Caenorhabditis elegans: one gene and its partner. The protein of the gene in region 1 purifies or fractionates together with the protein of each later gene. This does not show direct contact. Each region holds a gene or a part of one and is shown in the gene's direction. Other genes may lie near its edges.

Evidence for each region.
Region 2: the proteins of gcy-12 (region 1) and C48E7.6 fractionate together in Caenorhabditis elegans (co-fractionation; one large-scale study listed by BioGRID). This does not show direct contact.

What each region holds. Positions count from the first base shown.
Region 1 is NC_003280.10:5,306,513-5,316,871, forward strand, and holds the start of gcy-12 (Receptor-type guanylate cyclase gcy-12), read left to right. Parts: upstream 1-5,533; 5' UTR 5,534-5,607; coding exon 5,608-5,826; intron 5,827-5,877; coding exon 5,878-6,190; intron 6,191-6,600; coding exon 6,601-6,751; intron 6,752-6,817; coding exon 6,818-7,125; intron 7,126-7,170; coding exon 7,171-7,326; intron 7,327-7,374; coding exon 7,375-7,568; intron 7,569-7,612; coding exon 7,613-7,766; intron 7,767-8,188; coding exon 8,189-8,549; intron 8,550-8,595; coding exon 8,596-10,321; intron 10,322-10,359.
Region 2 is NC_003279.8:6,230,498-6,241,103, forward strand, and holds the start of C48E7.6 (Chondroitin sulfate proteoglycan 4), read left to right. Parts: upstream 1-5,636; 5' UTR 5,637-5,714; coding exon 5,715-6,009; intron 6,010-7,291; coding exon 7,292-7,376; intron 7,377-8,076; exon of another isoform or gene 8,077-8,213; intron 8,214-8,659; coding exon 8,660-8,726; intron 8,727-9,024; coding exon 9,025-9,123; intron 9,124-9,172; coding exon 9,173-9,313; intron 9,314-9,550; coding exon 9,551-9,897; intron 9,898-9,939; coding exon 9,940-10,074; intron 10,075-10,324; coding exon 10,325-10,535; intron 10,536-10,606. Other genes in the region: T08B2.12 (MS Related Protein), read right to left, coding at 1,052-1,430, 1,476-1,555; col-56 (Col_cuticle_N domain-containing protein), read left to right, coding at 2,280-2,420, 2,469-2,536, 2,934-3,421, 3,469-3,545, 3,592-3,783; C48E7.7 (MS Related Protein), read left to right, coding at 4,288-4,367, 4,413-4,791.

The sequences.
Region 1 (10,359 bases):
CACTCATTAGCACACACTTGTTCTTTGCGTGTACATCGTTTTCCTCAAGTTGTCAGGTGATCCGGTGAGGGGCGGTTATTGTGAACACCAGGGAAACAGTTTTTATGTTTTCTCGAAAAAAATTGTTATACTCTCATTTCTCTGGTGTGTAGGCTAGAGTTTAGGAGAGGACGAAGCAATTTTAGTTGCAGCATTGCAGCCAGGAGACCCTAAAAATGTCATTAAGTTTTGTAGAATTTTGCAAAACAATAATGTTGCACCAGTACTATAAATAACGTCTCTTCAAGTACAGTAAAAAAATTTCATCTGAAATGCATAATATTTACGGTAGTAATTTCATCAGAAACGCCTCGCACTCACTTTTTTACGTCTACTCGCTTCATCGAAAAATCGATGTCAAGTTTTTGCCTCTGGTAATGTTTCTTTAATTTTGTATGTTTCACTTCCTAAGTTTTCAGCTTACCTATGGCTGCCTGCCTGCCTTAAAGCGTGCCTAGTCTCTAAGTTTGCGATAATTTAGCGAAATTTTCAATCATATTTAAGGATTAATTGTAATGTGCAAATAGGAAGATCTTAAAACAACACTGTACGAATGCCAAAAAATAGGCGGTGGTAGGCAGGTAGGCAGATAGGTAGGTCACCATAAATAGTACCTTGTGAATCTTCAGTAATGCTACTTCAATTAGTTGTCGGCGTCGGCTTATTTTAGACATTTATAATAGTCCAAGGAGTACAGAATTTGTAAGATTTGTATTCTTTGTTTGCCTGGAAAGACATGTGTTCAGTTCAATCACCCGTAGCTAATAGTATAGTTGCACTTTGTGATCAGTCTACGTGACATCAAAACCAGATGATTTCAAGTGTGAACATTATCTTATCGCATTTTGATAACCATTGGCCGACCGTCGGTTAATGAGCTTTTCACTCATTTTTTTTTTGATTTTTGAAAAATCAAAGTTTTTTCCTTCTATAGTTTAAACTAAACCATGATCATTGATTCAAGTCGTTCATTATTTTTCTTTTTTCTATCCACTTCATTTTTCACAAATTTTTCGTGTCACTGCTTTCTTATCAATTATCACCTGCGAATTGGAGGAGAAGAGACATTTTTCCCACCTTCTGAACATTTTTACATTTTCTTGCGCATTCTCTTCCTCTTTTCTATAGGTTTTGTTCAGGTTTTCTTGCAAAAAAAGTATTTTTTGTTCTCTTTTTAATTACTCGATATCAAAACTCAACTTTTCTGCACAATACAAAACTTGTTTTCTTGTTTTATCGTCAAACGAAAAAATTCTTTCTGCATGGGTTTATGATCCATAACTTTTTTTCTTGCCCTTGTACATGCAAGCTCTCTTTTGTTTTCTCATTTGGTTGGACAGACACATTATGCTTAACAAATCATTACCCAGAATTTGTTATCAGAATTTTCATTTTGTTCAAGGAACCTACTGATAAGTGTATGTTTGTGTTGAAAATTTGTTCATATTTTGATCAAATTCTGGTCACTATGAGGCTAAGGTTGAAAAATTGGAAAATATTTGTTACGGTTTCAAGATTTTTTGAAATATATTGTCTAATTTATTATGGTGTTAGAGTATGACTTAGCGCGTTTTCATTGCTCTCATTAAAATATTTTGTCGAAAATTAAAGGTTCATCGTTTTGTAGGCATACAGGTAGGCATTGCTGTGCCTACACAGTTAATAAATTTGATCGTTTGGTTTCAAATACTTGAACTTTTCCCCATTTTAGAAAAAAATCAACTTCCAAATTGTTTCCTATACCAAATCTCTGTATTTACTCTAACATCACTTTTCTCTGTTTTTTTTTTTGCAAACATAATCTCTGTTTGTAAGGTTTATTTAGATTATCCTTTTGCAATGATAGTTCAGATTTAGTTCAGTTTTATGAAATATACACTTGCGAACTCGTTGTGTCACGAGGTGTCTAAAATAGTGATTTTTATCCAATTGCTCAAGAAAAAAGAGAAAATCTATTGATCATCGTCAAAAAGAATAACTACAGTGTAGTTCTACTAGACTGTTTGTACCGAGAAATTTTAATTTTGCAATTTCAGTGTTATCCATTTTTCAATGACAATAATTCTAGGTACGCATTCTTCACAGGCATAAAAATGCCTACCTACATGCCTACAAGTGATGTCTAATTCTTTGGAGGCAGGTAGGTAAGCAAAAGTATGTATCTTGCAGAATAATCTGGATATTTTAGAGCAGCCTTAGATGTTATATTTTTGAATTTTGAACTTCTCAAATCAACGTTTTCCAACATATTTTGATTTTCACAAAGCACAAACTTCTCCAAACTCAATTTTTACACTGTTTTAAATTTGAGAAAACCTCTCTAAGATCACTATTCTAAGATCCTTTTTGACAGATTTGTGAGAAGTCACTGATACTCTCATCCACCATGTGCCCTTTTAACTTTGTGTGTGTTCTGCTCTTTTTGTCGGCGGTCTTGTTTCCCACATAGACCCCACCACACAGACACTTTGAACAGAAAAATATTTTTGCAATAAAAATCCGTGTCCGTCCTCCACGCCTCATTCACTCTTTTCATCCGAAATGCAAAAAAAGAGAGGAACCCGGGGCAGTGGTTTTGCAAACGTTTGAGCAGCTGTCTGATGCTCGTTTCGTTGTGTGCATCCTCTTAATTCTTTCTTTCTCTATTTCTCGCGTTTTCTCCATATTTCGTCTCATTTTCAGTTTCAGTTTCAATTCATCAAAACTTGTCAAGAAAAACGAGAGAGGATATGTAGGATGGAGAAATTGAGAATATAATGTATAATTAATATACATTCCACCCTTCTCTTCGCCCCCATTTTTCCAGTTTTTCATTTTCTTCTTCCTCTTTTATTTTTCATAGATTTTTAAAGAAAATATATTTGTGTTATTTTAGATTTTAGAATTTATTTATGACGAAGTTGTATTTGTTGTTTTCATTGCAATTGTCAAAAAAATGTACCCTTTTGAAGCTTGAGCTAAACAAAACTGGATATGCCTTTGGGTAGGCAGGCACAATTTTAGGCATTAAATAATTGTCAAAAATGGGCCTGCAAGGTGCCAGCTGCTCTAACTTTTGTCACAGTGGAGTTGATAACAATTTATCAACATCGAAAATGTAGAAAAGAATTATGGTCAATATTTTGTCTTTTAAAACAATTTTGCAAATCTTATTAGTTTTTTTGAGTTATGCTCTTTTGAAGTTTTGTGACATTTTTATTTTTTTATCTCTCAACACCAAATTGTAACTTTCTTTTAATCTTAATTTTTCTCATTTTCCGAAGTTTATTTTTTAATTCCTCAATGTTTGCCTGTGTGCTCATGGATTTCTTTAAAACATTTTCCCGTCACTTGCTGTCACCTCCTTGTAGCCAACAGTTGACAGACGTCTCAAACCTCAGACAGAGAAGTGACAAGTAATCCTGAGAAGCTCAAAGTAGACCTAGATTTTACAAAGCACATGGATCACTAGGTGTCTTCAGTTTTTGTGCCTGTTATTAGATGTTTCGTCAAGATAAATTTTTTGGAGGTTTAGTCTCATAGCTTGTTCCAAACGTTTTAATCAAATTTTGCCAAAGCGTTGCAGTTTCATTTAATTCTACCATGAGAGTTGTAGTTTTTTACTTAACTGCCAGTGGAATTTCTGGTTTCGTAGAAACAGAATTGGAAGTTTGAACTATTGGAAATAAAAATCAAACGTATATGATGAAAATGGGCTTTACACCAAAATTGGGGTTTTGTAAGATATACCAAGAATTTTCTTTTTTTTTAATTTTTTTCGAATTGAAGTGAAATTTACAAATTTCTGAAATCTATAGATGCGCAACATTTTTGGAAAACGCAAAACTTTGCTTGGAAGCAATAATTGCAACAAATTTGAATATACGGTAACTAGAGACTCCGTTGGAGGCGTCAAGGGTCACCTCTTCTTCTTCACTCGCCCTACCAGATCTGTTTCTTTGCGGAAATAAAATATATTTGCACCATTTTCAAAGCGAAAATTGACATCTTTATATGCCAACATTCACATTCGGATCAACACGATCGAAATCTTTTTCAAGCAAAGATCTCGTCCAACCTTATGCTGATAATTCAAACCCCCTTACATAATAATCCAACAGCTTAGTTTTTAGTTTTTGAGTTAAAGAGCTCAACATCTCTCAAAATAATCTGATTTTTTTTGCGAGCCAAAATCGTAGTCACCTCGTCTATTTTGACCTCAGTTTGCGTTTTCTCCCCGCCAATTTTGTGAAGACGTCAGAAGTGTCGTTTGAATGTCAGATTTCGTGCATCTTTTCTGGAATATTATATAAAAAACATAAATTTTAAAGAGCTTCCCGGATTTTTTTCCATCTATTTCTATGAAATCCCAGATTTCTGCTCATCTCTTTCAATTCCGTCATAATTTTTATTTTTTGCAATTCCTACAATAAAAATTAGAAAAAAAAAGTCATTTTCTCTTACACCGGCTTTCCTCCTACATCGTTTCCTTCCCTAATCCTTTCTCGTGTCTGACACTCCCTTATCCGCCTCATTTTCATCTCAAAATTGAAAAGATTAGCCATTTGACTATATAGAGATGATTAGTCATTTTTATGTTATATGTACACAACTTTTCATCTAAAGACTTTTTCCATGAAATTTCATGGTTTTGATGGCTAGGAAGGGAAGCAGACAGGCCTACTTTTTGCCTGCCTGCGTTCGTTTCTACCTATCTCATATTTTTAATTCTCTGTATGTGCAATGTAATTCACGAATTCAATAGACTTGTAAAGTGTTTCATTAACAAAAAAGTTCAGAAATTTTTTGGTAGACGGTAGGCGTAGGCCACCTGGGTGGCAGTTATCCGGTGCCTACGTGGAATGCTAATTTTCAATGACGTGACTTTCCATAAGTGTTCTCTCAATATTTATCTTTCAAAAAAAGGAGAATATTTGCAACATAGAAATGAGTGTGCTCTTTCCTTTTGGTTTTTGATCATTCTCTTTTTTTTGGGATGAACAACTAGAGGGGCAAATTTCGCAGAAAAAACTTTCTCATGTCCTTGAACAAGTTCTATGCAAAAAAGATTCTATTAGAATTCGCTCGTCTTCTATCTGAACCTAACTTTGTATTGAGGCCAGCGGCCAAGTTGAAAGTTCAAAAAATTTCTAAAAATCCGGAATCGTCAAACTACCATTTGTATCAAAATTACGCGAATGTCGATAAAATCAGAATTCAAACAAAATGCTGAGACTTAAAGTTTATTGCCGCATAAAAATCCGAATTAAATTCCCATTATTTTTTTCCTCCAACCGTATTCTTTTGATCTCTTCGATGTATTCCTGATGTGGTTGCACTCTATATCCTTTCTTAAATTGTTCAACTCTATTTTTTGTGGCATTAATGTTTAATAATTTTTATTCACAATCAGAAAAATATATTAATTTTCAATAATTTAAAATATTTTTAAACCTCCGTCAAATTCATTTTCTTATTTTCCCTGTTCTCCGTAACCTTACGTGACATATTCCAGATTCACAAAAATTCCACGTGTCATATATACGAGTGGAACATTATTGGAAAACAAAAAGTGAAATGAGTTGATGAATGTGGCCGACAAGTGTCGAAGCGCTCCGGTTCTACCACACATTTGCATTCTCACCGGGACGACGGCGACGGCTCTTCGGATTATCGATTGTTTTTGTGATTGCCGCGTTATGTGTGACGTCATGCGATGCAGATGCAGTTCCAGCACCGTCTCCAGAAGCGGAACCATCACTCGGTGCGGGAGCAAATCCGTATTTGTTGGACTCGTTGGTGAAAAGGGTTAGTTGGTCATATTATTACAAGATAGTCATAAACTTCAATTATTTTTAGCTTCCCAAAAAAGGCGACAAAAAGGAAATCCTGATCAGTTACCTGGCCGCTGTGCCCACACTAATGGGAGAAATTGATCAATACCTTCTCAATTTATCAGCTTCAAACTCTGCACAAAATTCGTCTAAAGATCGAGAAAGCTTCTCAAAAAAGCTCAATCAAATCGTGCACTGCCTGACAACTGATGCTTACGTTTCTGTGGTTTCGGGAGCATTAGTGGCGGCTATTGTAGAGATTAATCAGGATAAAGATCTCATTCCTGCTTATCAGTTGAAATATGTCTTTGGAAATACTTGTGGAAACGATTCTCATAGTGAGTACAGTGAAATTGAGGATTTGAAGTGATTAGAACTCTGGGAAGTTAAATTGGAACTTCTTGTTCAAAAAATACGGTGTTTCCTCTGTTAACATTGCATCACACTGTTAAACTTTGAAAGTTTATATCAGTATTCGTTTGTTCTATTCAAAAATTTTCAATTGACGACACCCCGAACGTGGCTTTTTAAACGCACCGCCCTTTCTTTGAAATGAACTAAAAATGAAACATCTATCAGAAGATCAGGAAGGAGAAACTAAATAAAAACAAAATAAAAAATAAGCCACGTTTATGTGTCTGTTTTTAAATTTTGATAATACTAATAGAGGATATACGGTATCAGTTGAAATGACGCATCTCCAGTTAAAAAAATACTTCTGCATATATCCAACAACTTCTTATTTCAGGTACTCGCTTGTTCATGGAGCACTGGCAAGCCGGAGCTCGCGTCTTCATTGGTCCTGAAAAGAACTGCAAGACTGAAGCTGCGATGGCTGCTTCACAGAACCTTCCAATCATCAGTTATCGATGCAATGATCAGGATATTTCTCGTGATGAGTGAGTTTTTGGTTTTTGATTTTGATTTTTCGAAACAAAGATTCCAGTTCTATAAATTATTTTCAGCTACCACTATCGAACATTTGCACGTACTGTACCACCAGCTGGAGAGATCTTCAAAGCCTTCATGTCCTTGATGAAACAATACAACTGGCGGAAATTTTCGGTTGTCTATGATGTTAAGAAGGGTCAAGTGAAGAACGAGCTTTTTGAAACATTGAAGAGAATGGTGGAGACTGAAAACAAATTTGAAGAGCACAAGTTTGAAATTATGAATGTTTCAAAACTCGAGTTCTCGAAAATGGATATCAGTAGTCAACAGGACATTCAAAGCATTGAAAATGCCATAAAATCGACGATGCAGACAACGAGAAGTTTGTTTTATATTTAGTTTTCGAAGCTAAACAGTTATATTTCAGTATACCTGACATTCGACAACGTCCGACTCTTCCGTACAATGTTATCAATTATGGGAGAAATGGGACTAACTCAACAGGATTATATGCTCATTTATGTTGATACCAACTACGACTGGCTTAACGTCTACCATTCAATGAATAATCATTTTTTGAGAAGTAAGCATGGACTTTAATTCTTTTAAATTTCAAGCAACATTGTTTCAGATACTATGACATACTTACATCATTCCTGGGATGCTAACAATTCATCAGATAGAAAAATGCTCGATTATGCAAGAAGTGCTCTTTCGATTATTCCAACTCCAGTCAAATTGAATAGTCAAAGGTTTTACAATTTTTGGAAGAAAGCCGGTGACTATATGCATCATTTTGGAGTCCAGAAAGCTGATAATTTGAAGGTTTGATTATATGAGAGTTAAGATGTATCATTAATTTCTTTCAGGGAAATAGAATTGCGTGTTACCTCTACGATGCAGTTTACTTGTATGCGAAAGCCATTCACGAGTTAGTCGAAGAATATGGTAATGATGATTCTTACGATCCGACGGCAGATGGGAAGGCTATTATCGATAGAATTGTTAATAAGAAATATCGAAGTGAGTACAAAATGTTATGAAAATCGTCTCAATTTTAAACCAGATTAAAAACATTTATACATCTTTTTTCTTCACAAAAGTCAATCAAAACAATTAATTTTGATCGGTTCCTGGTTTCATTGTAGTATGAAACTCGACGCCGTCTCCGATATGATAGGTTTTGATAAACTTGTCCAAGCCAGGGATTAAGGTCATCACTGGTGGCTCGCCAACTTCCGATAGAGCAAATTTAAAAAGTAGTAGCACAGAAATTAAGTAAAAGAGGAAGGTTTTACTGCCAACCATTTTCGGTTTGGAATGCTGAATTATCATCTAACCAGCCGTATTTATAGCTGTTATCAAATAAAAATACAAGTGACTAACAAATGCAAACATAGATTTTTTGTTTTAAAAACAATAACATAACTGATACATTTTTTCAGGCATCCAAGGATTTGACATGAGAATTGACGAACGAGGAAACTCGAAAGGAAACTTCTCGCTTCTCAGTTGGCAAAAAGTGGCACCAATCATGAACAAGTCCGATCCATCGTATTATCCATTGGACCATGCTCTTGATTTGACTGCTATTTTCGTTGAAGCTCCTGATAAGGATAGACTACCAAATCTGCAATTCAAGTCCTCACGGATTCAATGGTTGAAAGGAGAACCACCACCGGATGAACCTGTTTGTGGTTTCCATGGCGAAAATTGTCGGAAGAAGGGAATCTTCAGTTATCTCACAGTGGTCGTTATGATTCTCATTGCAGTTTTCAGTCTTGTGCTCACTGGATTTACTTTGAAGTGAGTTTTTAAAACTGAAAGAAATGATTTAACATTAAAATTTCAGTTACATCCGAAGTCGCCGCTTCGAGAAAGAGTTGTCCATGATCTGGAAGATTGATCCATATGAAGTTCGCCGTGTTGTCGGAGGAGTGAACAATGAATCAACAGCATCTCTAATGCAATCTGATGTCATGCAGTTTGCAAAAACAAAAACACCTTGGTGGAGTAAAGCGCCGGTTCAAGGAACAGGAATGCGGGGACTTGCTTCATACAAGGGAACACTCGTTGGGCTGAAAGATTTGATGTATGGCCGGAAGCCGAAAGATCTGACACGGGAAGCTAAGAAAGAGTTGCGAGCAATGAGACAATTAGCTCATCCAAATGTCAATAACTTCCTTGGAATTATTGTATGCCAATATTCAGTTACGGTTGTCAGAGAATACTGCTCTAAAGGATCACTTCACGATATTTTGAGAAACGAAAATCTAAAGCTGGATCACATGTATGTTGCCTCATTCGTAGATGATCTTGTGAAAGGAATGGTGTATATTCATGACTCTGAACTGAAAATGCATGGAAATCTTAAATCCACCAACTGCCTCATCACTTCCCGCTGGACACTTCAAATCGCTGATTTTGGATTACGGGAGCTCCGAGAAGGAATCATGTACGATAGTAGTTATAACATCTGGGAGAACTTCTTATGGACAGCACCAGAAGCAATGACTATCAACGGGTCACTGGCAATTTCAAATCCGCCGACTCCAAAAGCTGATGCCTACTCATTCGGTATTATATTCCATGAGATTTTTACTCGAGAAGGACCTTATAAAATCTATGTTCAACGTGGAGATGTCAATGGAGAGGCTGCTCCTAAGAAGGATAGTGTCGAGTGTCGAGCATTGGTTGAAAAAACAGTCCGACGAGTATACAGTGATCCATATTTCCGTCCGGATACTTCTGATCTTGAGGTTCAAAATTATGTGAAAGAAGTTATGGCGGCATGTTGGCATCATGATCCATATCAAAGACCTGAATTCAAAACAATCAAGAATAAATTGAAACCACTTTTCCATCAAATCTATAAACAGAATATAATGGATCATATGGTATTAATGATGGAGAAATATCAAACACAATTAGAAGATCTTGTTGACGAAAGAACTATTGAATTGAAAGATGAACAACGGAGAAGTCAACATTTATTGCAAAGAATGCTTCCGAGCTCAGTTGCTGAGCAACTACTTGCTGGACAAGACGTGATTCCTGAAGCATTTCCACCGGTTACTATTTATTTTTCGGATATTGTCGGGTTTACAACGATCTCTGGAGAATCGACTCCAATGGAAGTTGTCACGTTCCTCAACAAGCTTTATACACTTTTCGATAGCATAATTCGACGATACGATGTATACAAAGTGGAGACAATTGGTGATGCCTATATGGTTGTATCAGGAGTCCCACAGTACAAGACAATGGAATACCATGCGGAACAAATTGCAATGATGGCGATTCACATACTCTCTGCTGTCAGATCATTCTCGATTCCTCATCGATCTTGTGAGCCGCTGATGATTCGAATCGGTATGCATACGGGTCCATGTGTAGCTGGTGTAGTTGGAAAAACAATGCCAAGATATACTTTGTTTGGTGATACAGTCAATACAGCATCAAGAATGGAAAGTAATGGAGAAGCATTGAGAATTCATTGCTCGTCCTCAACTCAGAAGGTTTTAACATCCATTGATCAAGGATTCTTGTTAGAAGAAAGAGGCTCATTGGCTATTAAGGTAACGTTGAAAATATTATTTTTTAAACTATGATTGTT
Region 2 (10,606 bases), on another chromosome or scaffold:
TCCTTTGTAAAAAATTGTAAAATTTTGTAAAAAGGCTCAATTCGAAGAAATATGTAGCTTTTTGCATGCCCGGATACAAAAAAATAGTTTTGGAATTTTATCAAATCGAAAAAATCGAAAAAATTTCAGATTTTTTTCAAAAATATAAACATTTCCAAAAAGCTCCCACATTGTTTGTTAGACCCTAAAAAAATTTCTAATCTCTCAGAACCCCTTTTAAGGCCATTTACTTGACATAGAAGTCAGCGAAAAAATGCACTGGAGCACTTTCAGATAGCGATTTCAGGGATTCAGAGTTGAGTTCCGCCGCTGAAATTTTTGTGGTGATCTAGTCTAAACATAAGCTTTCAAATGACATACGTCTCAATTTAAAGTCCGGGACTAGATTGACTTCCTTTCCTTGTAAGTTTCGCTTACGTGCGTATAATAGCAATTATTTAGCGAGCCGAACTAAACTGATCACCAGTTTCTCAGAGCACGCCTTAAAATCCAAATTTTTACTTTGCACAAATGTTTTTTGACAGTCAGGCGTGAAGCAAGCACATTGACAAGGTTTAAGATAGGCACGTAGGCAGTCATAAGGTAGGCATAAGGTATAAGGCGCGCCATAAAGCATATATTGTAGAATCACAGTAGTGTTAGTAGTGTCGCACCCACACATACACTTATACACACTTTTATTTTGCCAAAGGTTCCATAGAAAACTGGTAATGACGGAAAACTTAATAATCACATATTTTTATTAAATGAAACAGACTTCAATCAAATCATGGAACTTGTCCAAGTAATTATTTTTTGGGCAATACTTGGGTAAGAAGTTGACGGCAAACTCCGAGATAGCGTAGTTTCGAGTTCAAGATGACAGTCCACAAGCAAGCCGAACAGCTTAGATTGAGTTCAGAAACAAAGACATATTACGATAATCACTTATTATTTTATTAAACGTAATAGCTATTGTCTATAGATTAATGGAATAAAGAATTTCGAAGAACTTGGTTATCACATAATATTTTATTGAGTTAGTATGAGTTAGCAATAGAGATCAATCAAATCATTGAACCAAAGCGAGAACGACCATTGGGACAACAAAGAAGGTTCCAGTGTTGTAAGCAGCTTTTGTGGCATTGGTTGAAGTTTCTCCGAGCAAGTCATCAACAGAAGTTACATTTGGTGCAACAGTCGATGAAAGCGATGGACGAGAAGCCCCTTCAGTTGTAGCTTCGATGTTATTGGCAGCTGGAGTATCAACTGGAGCATTGGTTTCAGCATCTTTAGTCTCTTGAGTGGCTTCTACAACAACAGCTTCTGTAGTTTCTTCAACAGCTTCGGTGGTTTGAACTGGTTCTGTAGCTGGTTCTGTTTCTGCAACGGCTTTGGCTGTTGTTTCGATGAGAGCCACAGTTGCATCTTCAGTGACTTTAGTTGCAGTCCTGGAATAGAAAAGTAAAAAAGAGTAATTATAGAGAACAACTCACACAGCAACGGCAGTATCGTCTCCATTGACAATTGGAGCCAAGATGAGGAGCATGGCGAACAAGATGTTGATTGATTGCATGTCGATTGATTTGGTGCAAGTTTGCAAGATGATGGTTAGTCGAATGTTAATGTTCAAGTGAGAACTGATTTTATTTCAATTTTCTCATCTTCACATCAACTTTTATCTCGATGTTTGATCGACCTTTACGTGAAATACGTATTCATTGGACATTGGAAAAGCTCACGTTTATCTTCAAAATATTTATATTAAAATAAAAAATCATATGCTTTTTTCAATTAAATCAAACCTGCTGTTATGTACCACTACAGCAACTTGAAAGTACCTGATAGTATCCTTACACTATCGGAGAACCCCAAAAACCACCCTCATTATATTTTACTAGAACCGGCAAACCGGATTTAGAGCCTGCTGAATCTTCAACTCTTTCCCATTCAAATTCAGATTTTCAAGCCAAAATTTAACCGTCCCAAGTTTTAGGAAATCAAAATGTAATTCAAATTGATTCCAAAGCTCACGTTTTATTAACTTCCGCTTCCCTGCTTCAACCTAAATGGTCAACTTGTCTAGTGGTCATCATGTAATACAAAAGAAGTTGTAATTTGTAAGAAAGTATCGCTTTTCACAGAAAGAGAATAGATCCGTGAAAATCCAGTCAAAAGAAGCCGCGAAGCGAAAAGTAACACGGCAATTATGTTTTGAAAAGACACTCAGACAATTCATTTTGGTTACCAGCATTTGAGTTATTTTGATGTTTTGACAATTCTCCAAATTCTATAAAATCATGAAATCAATGCCTTGGATTCATTTTTTATTCACTATAATTGTTATTTTATTTATTTTATCAATTGGCATTTTCTTCTACTTTTATTCGGAAATTCGAGATATCCAGAGAATTGCTGATGATGCCATTAAAGATTTTGAGGTAATTGAGGTTTTTAAAAAAGGAAGAAACATTTTTTTTTAATTTCAGATTTACGAAAAAATGTCCTGGAATGATCTACAAGTCGTACTGATTTCATTGAAATCCAGAGAAAAACGGTATTTTTTAATTAAATTTAATTTATTACGATACTAGCATATCGTGAGGTTAATAAGATTTTTCAGAGGAGAGTAAGAAATTATAAATTTTATAGTAAAAAGTAATTTTGTGGAACCAAAGCAATCTGAGACTCACATCGCCCGACCGCCTCCCGTCGCCTCCCAATCGCTTCTTGTGAATAATGCCTCAAAAACCATTGAAATATCATAAGAAAAATAAAATGGTCTTTTAAGATCTCTCAAGAATTTTTTACCTGTTCATATTAATGCAAATATCGTTGATACACCAGTGATACACCAATTTAATCGGTATATTTAGCTAAATATGTTCTTTAGTTTAATCGCCAAAATGTCGCTTTGTTAAACACAGAACAAACTTTAATCATATTTTCTGCAGAAAAATTCGCAAGAAATCTCGTCGTCAAAGCGAAAAAGATTATCTTGTTGCATTCCCATCATCACCTTCAATAAAACCACCAGAATGCCCATCAGGCCCTCCAGGTCGACCTGGAAAACCTGGATTAGATGGTGAACCGGGATTCGACGGGCTTCCGGGAAGAGACTATAATTATATGGAATTAATGACGGAGCACTGTATTTTGTGTCCTGCTGGACCACCAGGAGATCCAGGTATGGAAGGATCTGATGGTATTCCAGGACCGCCGGGCCTCATTGGCCCCCCAGGCCCGAATGGAGAATCTGGAGTAATTGGATCAGTTGGGGCTGCAGGAAGAGAAGGAACTCCTGGGAAACGAGGAATAGGTGGTGAAGAAGGAGAACCTGGTCTTATTGTAATGAAAATGATGAATACAAGAGGCCCAAAAGGTTCTGTAGGACCGCGAGGTCTTACTGGGCAACCTGGAATGCCTGGAAGAACAGTCAATGGTTGGCTTTCCTCCATGCTCACTTTTCTATTTAGTTCCCAATTTCAGCACCACCTGGATCGCCAGGTATCAGAGGACGTCCTGGTATGCCTGGTGCAAGTGGAAGGTCAGGAATCATTGGAAAGGTAGCTCAATATTTTTGAAGTTTTAATATATTGAGTCACGTTTCAGAGAGGAATCCACGGAGAGCCTGGACTCGACGCATCATATTGTCCCTGCCCACGCCGATCGTATCAAATGCAGAAAATGGTGGATCCAGCTCAAGAAAAGAAGTTTTCTTACGATTATTATGAATTTGAAGTCGCGAAATCGAGGAGAAATAGAAAATCGATTTGGAACAGAAGGAGAATCAAATATATTTAGTTTTTTATTATAACTTCATGAAGATTGTTATATTTTCTTTTTATCACTAACGCGGTATACTGGACCTATTTCATCTGACCCCCACAAATTTTGTGAGATTGAAAACGTAAAGTCATACTCCTGCTCGTGATGGATCCAATTTACTATCAATCCTGTTTGCCAGTCCTAATTAAATATAATTATAGAACATTTTCTTGGGTGGTTTTTGGGGTTCTCCGATAGTACTTATAAGGATACTTTCAGGTTGCTGTAGTGGTACATAACAGCTGGTTTGCTTTAATTGAAAAAAGCATCTGAATATGATTTTTTATTTTAATATAAATATTTTGAAGATAAACGTGAGCTTTTCCAATGTCCAATGAATACGTATTTCACGTAAAGGTCGATCAAACATCGAGATAAAAGTTGATGTGAAGATGAGAAAATTGAAATAAAATCAGTTCTCACTTGAACATTAACATTCGACTAACCATCATCTTGCAAACTTGCACCAAATCAATCGACATGCAATCAATCAACATCTTGTTCGCCATGCTCCTCATCTTGGCTCCAATTGTCAATGGAGACGATACTGCCGTTGCTGTGTGAGTTGTTCTCTATAATTACTCTTTTTTACTTTTCTATTCCAGGACTGCAACTAAAGTCACTGAAGATGCAACTGTGGCTCTCATCGAAACAACAGCCAAAGCCGTTGCAGAAACAGAACCAGCTACAGAACCAGTTCAAACCACCGAAGCTGTTGAAGAAACTACAGAAGCTGTTGTTGTAGAAGCCACTCAAGAGACTAAAGATGCTGAAACCAATGCTCCAGTTGATACTCCAGCTGCCAATAACATCGAAGCTACAACTGAAGGGGCTTCTCGTCCATCGCTTTCATCGACTGTTGCACCAAATGTAACTTCTGTTGATGACTTGCTCGGAGAAACTTCAACCAATGCCACAAAAGCTGCTTACAACACTGGAACCTTCTTTGTTGTCCCAATGGTCGTTCTCGCTTTGATTCAATGATTTGATTGATCTCTGTTGCTAACTTATACTAACTGAATAAAATATTATGTGATAACCAAGTTCTTCAAAAGTCTTTATTACATTAATCTATTGCAGTTAATAAAATAATATGTGATTATCGTAATATGTCTTTGTTTCTGAACTCAATCAAAGCTGTTCGGCTAAATTCTTATTCCATTCAGATTAGATTAAATTTAAGATGTGCTAACCATTAACCTCGCAGGATTTCAATTCAGGACAGGAAAGCAAGAAGCAGGGTGGTAGTCATGAAGTCGTGCCTTCATTTCAGAAATTAGGCATCTCTAAAGTTGATGAAGTTGGTTGAGAATTTGCGGGAAAGAGAAATAGTTCCAAACATGAGAAAATTACATATTACACAATTTTGTCGGTTCATCATCTTCCTCCAAAACCGAATAATCGTCTTTATCTGATTCGAAAAAAAAAACTTTATCAACCACTGGAAAACCTTTATTGTTGTCCCAATAGTGGCTTTCGCTTTGATTCAATGATTTGATCGATTTGTATTGCTCTCATACTAACTCAATAAAATATTATGTGATAACCAAGTTCTTCAAAATTTTTTATTCCATTAATCAAACAAGATTTCATGAAAAATCGCAATCTCTATCTTCCTGTCAACCGCAGTATACCTGTTAATAAATCTAATCATTATTATTATCATCTGATTCCTCATTTCTCTTTTTCTCTGTCTTTTTCATTCGTTCCTCAACCTTCTGCCAGCTTATGATGTACTATGTGTCAGTTGTTCCTCTTTCTTCTCCTTCCCTCATTTCCTCCCTCGAACCTCTTTGATGGGCGTGGCTTGAGCTTCTTTCTGTGTCTGAGACCAACATACTTCTTGCCTCTTTTACTGCCCACCAAAAACTTTCTCCATTTCAGTACAGTCTAGGCCAAATGTGCCGATGGCTTTTCTGGCACTGATATCACTTATCACATCTCCCCTAACTTTCGATCTACAAATCAACGGACCATCGGTTAATCCTGCACCAATTATATTGAGCACACCGTCCAAAAACTTATCATTATCATTTCACAATGGACACATCTACGCGGATTCGATTCCTGTATCAGCTATTTCTGAAAATGAGACTACATCATTCTCATTGAAATGTATTTCACATATTTCTTTACATTTTCAAAGTCCACATGCAAACTCTCTGGTTTATTCTCCAACATTGTGTTCAGCTCCAAATATCGGTAAGTTACCGAAAGAATTAACGAACGAATTACTTCCTGACTGTAAAAACAACCTTGAAATTTTTTGAAACATTATATCTAATTGTGAAATCAGTAGAAAAATCTGACTCATTTCGCTTTTTTTTACAAAATGATTGCTTCAAACTCTCCGATTTGCGTTTGAAAAAAGACTTTTGAATTACTGCTCATGTTTGCTGGTTGCCAGTTTCTCGATGTCGATGATGACAACAAAACGAGTTTCTGCAACTTGAAAAATTCTTCCTAAAATTAGAGATTTCAATCTTCCCTCCCCGATATTAAGTGAAAACCAATCTCATAAATCTGGAAAGACGCTTGCTGCAAGTGGCTAGAATAGTTTTTGTGCTAGAATCATAGCGGCTGCCTCAAAGCACACCAACAAAAAGAGCACTTTAGTCTTCTTTTCGGCTCCTTTTGGAAGCTGGAGCCGGCGCCGGAAATGAGCAAAAGAGTACTCTTTGGAGTATTCTGGAGCATCTCGGTATGTTGTTGTTGCTGTTCTCTATGTTTGTTCCGTAATAAACAATTGATGAAGATGAATGAATGAGAAAAGAAGAAGGAGATGGAGAGAGAGAGAGAGGAAGAAGCTTAAAAAGGAAAGAGAGTCATTGAAAATTCATCAGCAGATCATTCCGATGAACATGACATTTCAAATAGACCTAATAGAAATTTGTTAGCTTTTTTTGAAAATTGCTGAAAAGGACATACAAAGATTGTAAAACTTATTTTTTGAGTATGATTTCAGCATATTTTCAATTATTGCGCAAAATTGTTAAATTGAACTTTTCGAGTATTTGCACAACAGTTCCGTTTTTTTCTTTACCCTGAATTCTTCACAAAAATTGGGAGTTGGGGTTTGCAGCTAATTTTTTTAACTACCGAGTCAAAAAGTATAATAAGAAAACAATTTCTAAGAACTCGCTTCGAAGCCAAATCCCGCCATTTCTTCTTTTCCCGGTCAATAAAACTGTATTTTTTATCTCAAAATGTAGGCAGTAGATACCTCAAGATTCCCGGAAAAGTTTAACCCATTTCTTCAAAAAATCATAGTTGTTGGACTAATTAGCAAGTGTCAACACATGTGTCCTTCCATCATCCCTGTTTATACTTGCACTTGTTCACCACCAACCGACACATTTTGTAAATTATATGTTTTCTCTTCTTCTTCTTCATTTTTATGAGCCATGTGTTAGAAGAGGATGCTTGAGTTGAATAGAAAAATAAAAAATATTAAAATACAAAGTTGAATTCAAACAAATTGTAGGGCTCACAATAAACGAAACAGCGCTCAAAGGATGTATGTTTGATATCACTCAATCCAGCTCAATTTTGACTCAACGGATATGCGGGTGAGTTAAAACATTAAAAAAAGGAATTAGATCTGGATTTACCGTTTGAGCGTTTCTGTGTCAAAAGAAACGTTAACTATGTTCAATCTAGACTTTCATGAAGGTACAGGCATATTGTAGGCATTCAAGGCATGTGTATCCAATGGCGACCTTATCCATACTATCATGTGAAGAAAATTTGAAATTCACTGCAAGTAGGCGTAGGCTGCATTTAAGGGTTTCCTTGTAGAAAATATACAAACTGACACTTCTATTAATTTCTCAGGTTCCAATTTAGTTCAAAAAATCGGTGTACTTTTCACAAGACAAACAAACAGACAAAAATGTACGTGAAGGCAACATGTGTCTACTTTTAGTGACAACTCGACTGAAAATGTGTAGATCGTTTTCAGGCAGTATACATCTGCCTTATAGGTGTATATATCTTGAAGACTTTGACAATCAGACGTAACAAACATGTGTCCCTATCATTGAAACCATGAATAATGGGCGGTCTCGTTTTCACTCAATCATCAATCTGTCGTCCAGTCGGCAACTCTTTTTCCATTCCATTCTTCCAACATCTTGAAGCAATTTCTCTGCGACGAATCAAATCTCGCACTATTTTACCACATTATTATTATCCATATGTCTGCGTGTCCACATCATTTGGCACTGTTTCACTGGTTTAAAGTCAGTGATGACAGTGGAGTATCAAAAATTGAGAATCACGAAATAGTGCTGAATTGAGAGAGATTTAGGCAAAGAATGGGATACGCTGGATAGAGATGGAGACCACCAGAATTTGATACTTTGTGGCCGATAAAATTGGCACATTTGAGAGGGATTTATGGGGTGGCGAGGCAGTGGCAAAGAGTTGTTTGTTAGTAAAAAAGTCAGTGGTCACTGAAAAATAACCTGTGACTATAGGTAATGGGGGATATTGAATAAAAATAACAAATATGATAAAGTGAGGGACTTAAATGTTTTTCAGTTCATAGAAATCCGAAATAACTTTAATAACATCTATTTTAAAGAATGTTTAGGGAATTTTCCTAACTTACCCGTAAAGGCAAAATTTAGCAAGCCCATTTTTGAATGCATATCCTAAAGGTTCTGAAACTCAAACACATGATTTTACACTAATACGTTCAAAAATATATCGTAAAAAATGAGTTCGGGAGATGTCTATCAATATATATTTCGTTGACTGTGTTAAAATATTCAACACATTACCAACATGATATTAAAATTATTTGCAACATTTTCAACATGCGTTAAAAATTCTGCCTTCCAATTTCCAGAATCGACTCAAAAAATGCGGCAAAAAATCCAGAAAAAGGACCGATTTATGTGGCGGAGCCAGTAGAGGTAAGATTAATCTTTTACTCTGATGGAGAAGTATGGGACCGATTAATATACAATCTTTAAAATAGAGAAAACCAGGTATTGAAACAAACAATGAGCACAAACTGTAACACTCAAATCTGCTTTGAAAAACAAAATTTCCATGTTAAAATTGACCACACTTTTTGCTCACTCCGCGGATTAACACATGTTTTTTAGAACAAAAATTGTAGTACCTCATGGCTGCCTCTTAATAATTTTGGCAAAAGTCAAGGAGACAGGCTGAACTATTGAAGTATTTCGGTCAAAAAGTAATTTTCAGTTGAATGAAGGTGGATCCATGCCTCTGCAATGGAAAAATGTGTACTTCATGCCAAGCAGTCAAGATGTTAATTTTTCACATACTGATATATTCTTTACCGTTTGTTATACAAATTCCGATAACTGCAATTCAAAGAATACAATTTTAGATCGTTGAGAGTGCGAAACATGGAGAGGTTCGAATAGATGATGTTGTAACAAGTTCTTTTACGTATGCTCAGCTTTTGGCAAGAAGAGTGATTTACAAACATGATGGAACTGAAACTAGAGAGGATCGACTCTCTTTTCAGGTAAGTCCCAGCGCATTAAAATCCAAACGTTATAAAATATGAAATACCCAAAATGGTCAGAATTTCAGAAATTCCAAAATTGAAACGTTTTTCTTGTTTTACTTTTTTTGTAGAATTTCTGAATTTCTGAATATTTTTGAATATTTTAAAACAAACATCCACAAGGTCTCACAAGGTTTGAACGCATTGTTTTTTCTTTTAAAAACCTCTCCAATTAAAAAAAAACAGTGCTTTCAGATTGAATTTGCTGTTAAACACAAACAACTTATACCAGCTGAATCCAAAACTTACTCATTGAGAATAAAAATTAATGGAGTCAATGACCCGCCGGAACTTGTAAAACGATCAAAAGACGAGAAACTATTGATTGCTTCACGTGGAAGTCGAGTGATAACAAACGAGATTTTAATATTAACTGATGCAGATGATCGACCAGAAAAAGTTCGAGTACAAGTTGTAGAATCAAGCGGAGTTCATATAGAAGTTCATGGACAAAAAGTGAATGAGTTTAGTCACAAACAATTGATTGAAGAATTGGTTTCATTGGTTGATGAAGGAACAGAGTTGGGAAGTGGAAGAATACGGTAAAATCGGTGTTCAGTTAATTATGAGAACACAACTTTCAGATTAATTGCGAGAGATCGAGAGGCTAGAAGTGGAGTTGTTATACTTGAAACACAAAGTACCAAAGTTGACGTGAAGTTGGTCCATAACACAGGACTAAAATTACTTCATCATTCCAGTGCACTACTTACAAATAAGTGAGGTTTTATAAGCTTTCAAAAATCGGAAATAAAATAAAAATTATTATTTTTTTCGCAAAATAACAAACTTGAAAAAAGTATCAAGAATTCCAGGCAAAACTTTTTCAACAGTTCTGCCAACTTTTTTGAAAATATCGCAAGTTCCTGGCAACTATCAGCTTTTGAGAAGCGTTGTTCTGAACGTTTGGCAATAAGTTGCCGTTAAATGCCGAGATGTTACGAGCCTTGAAAACAACCTTGTTTTCAGAAATCTATCTTTTGATGCTTCGATTCAAGACATGATTGTCGCCTATCGAATTGTTGATATGCCAGACACGGGTGTTGTTGAATGTCTTCAAGAGAATGATGACAAGTTCAGCATGTGCACAACGTTCACTCAAGCACAAGTGAACGAGGAGCAAGTCCGATTCAGGCACACAAGTCAAAGTTCTTCGCCGAGCGATATGTTCAGTTTTCAGGTAAATTTCGGACAACTTTTCAATTAAGAAATGGTCCTCGCTAAAACTTTTGGCAACATTCATAGCGCCCC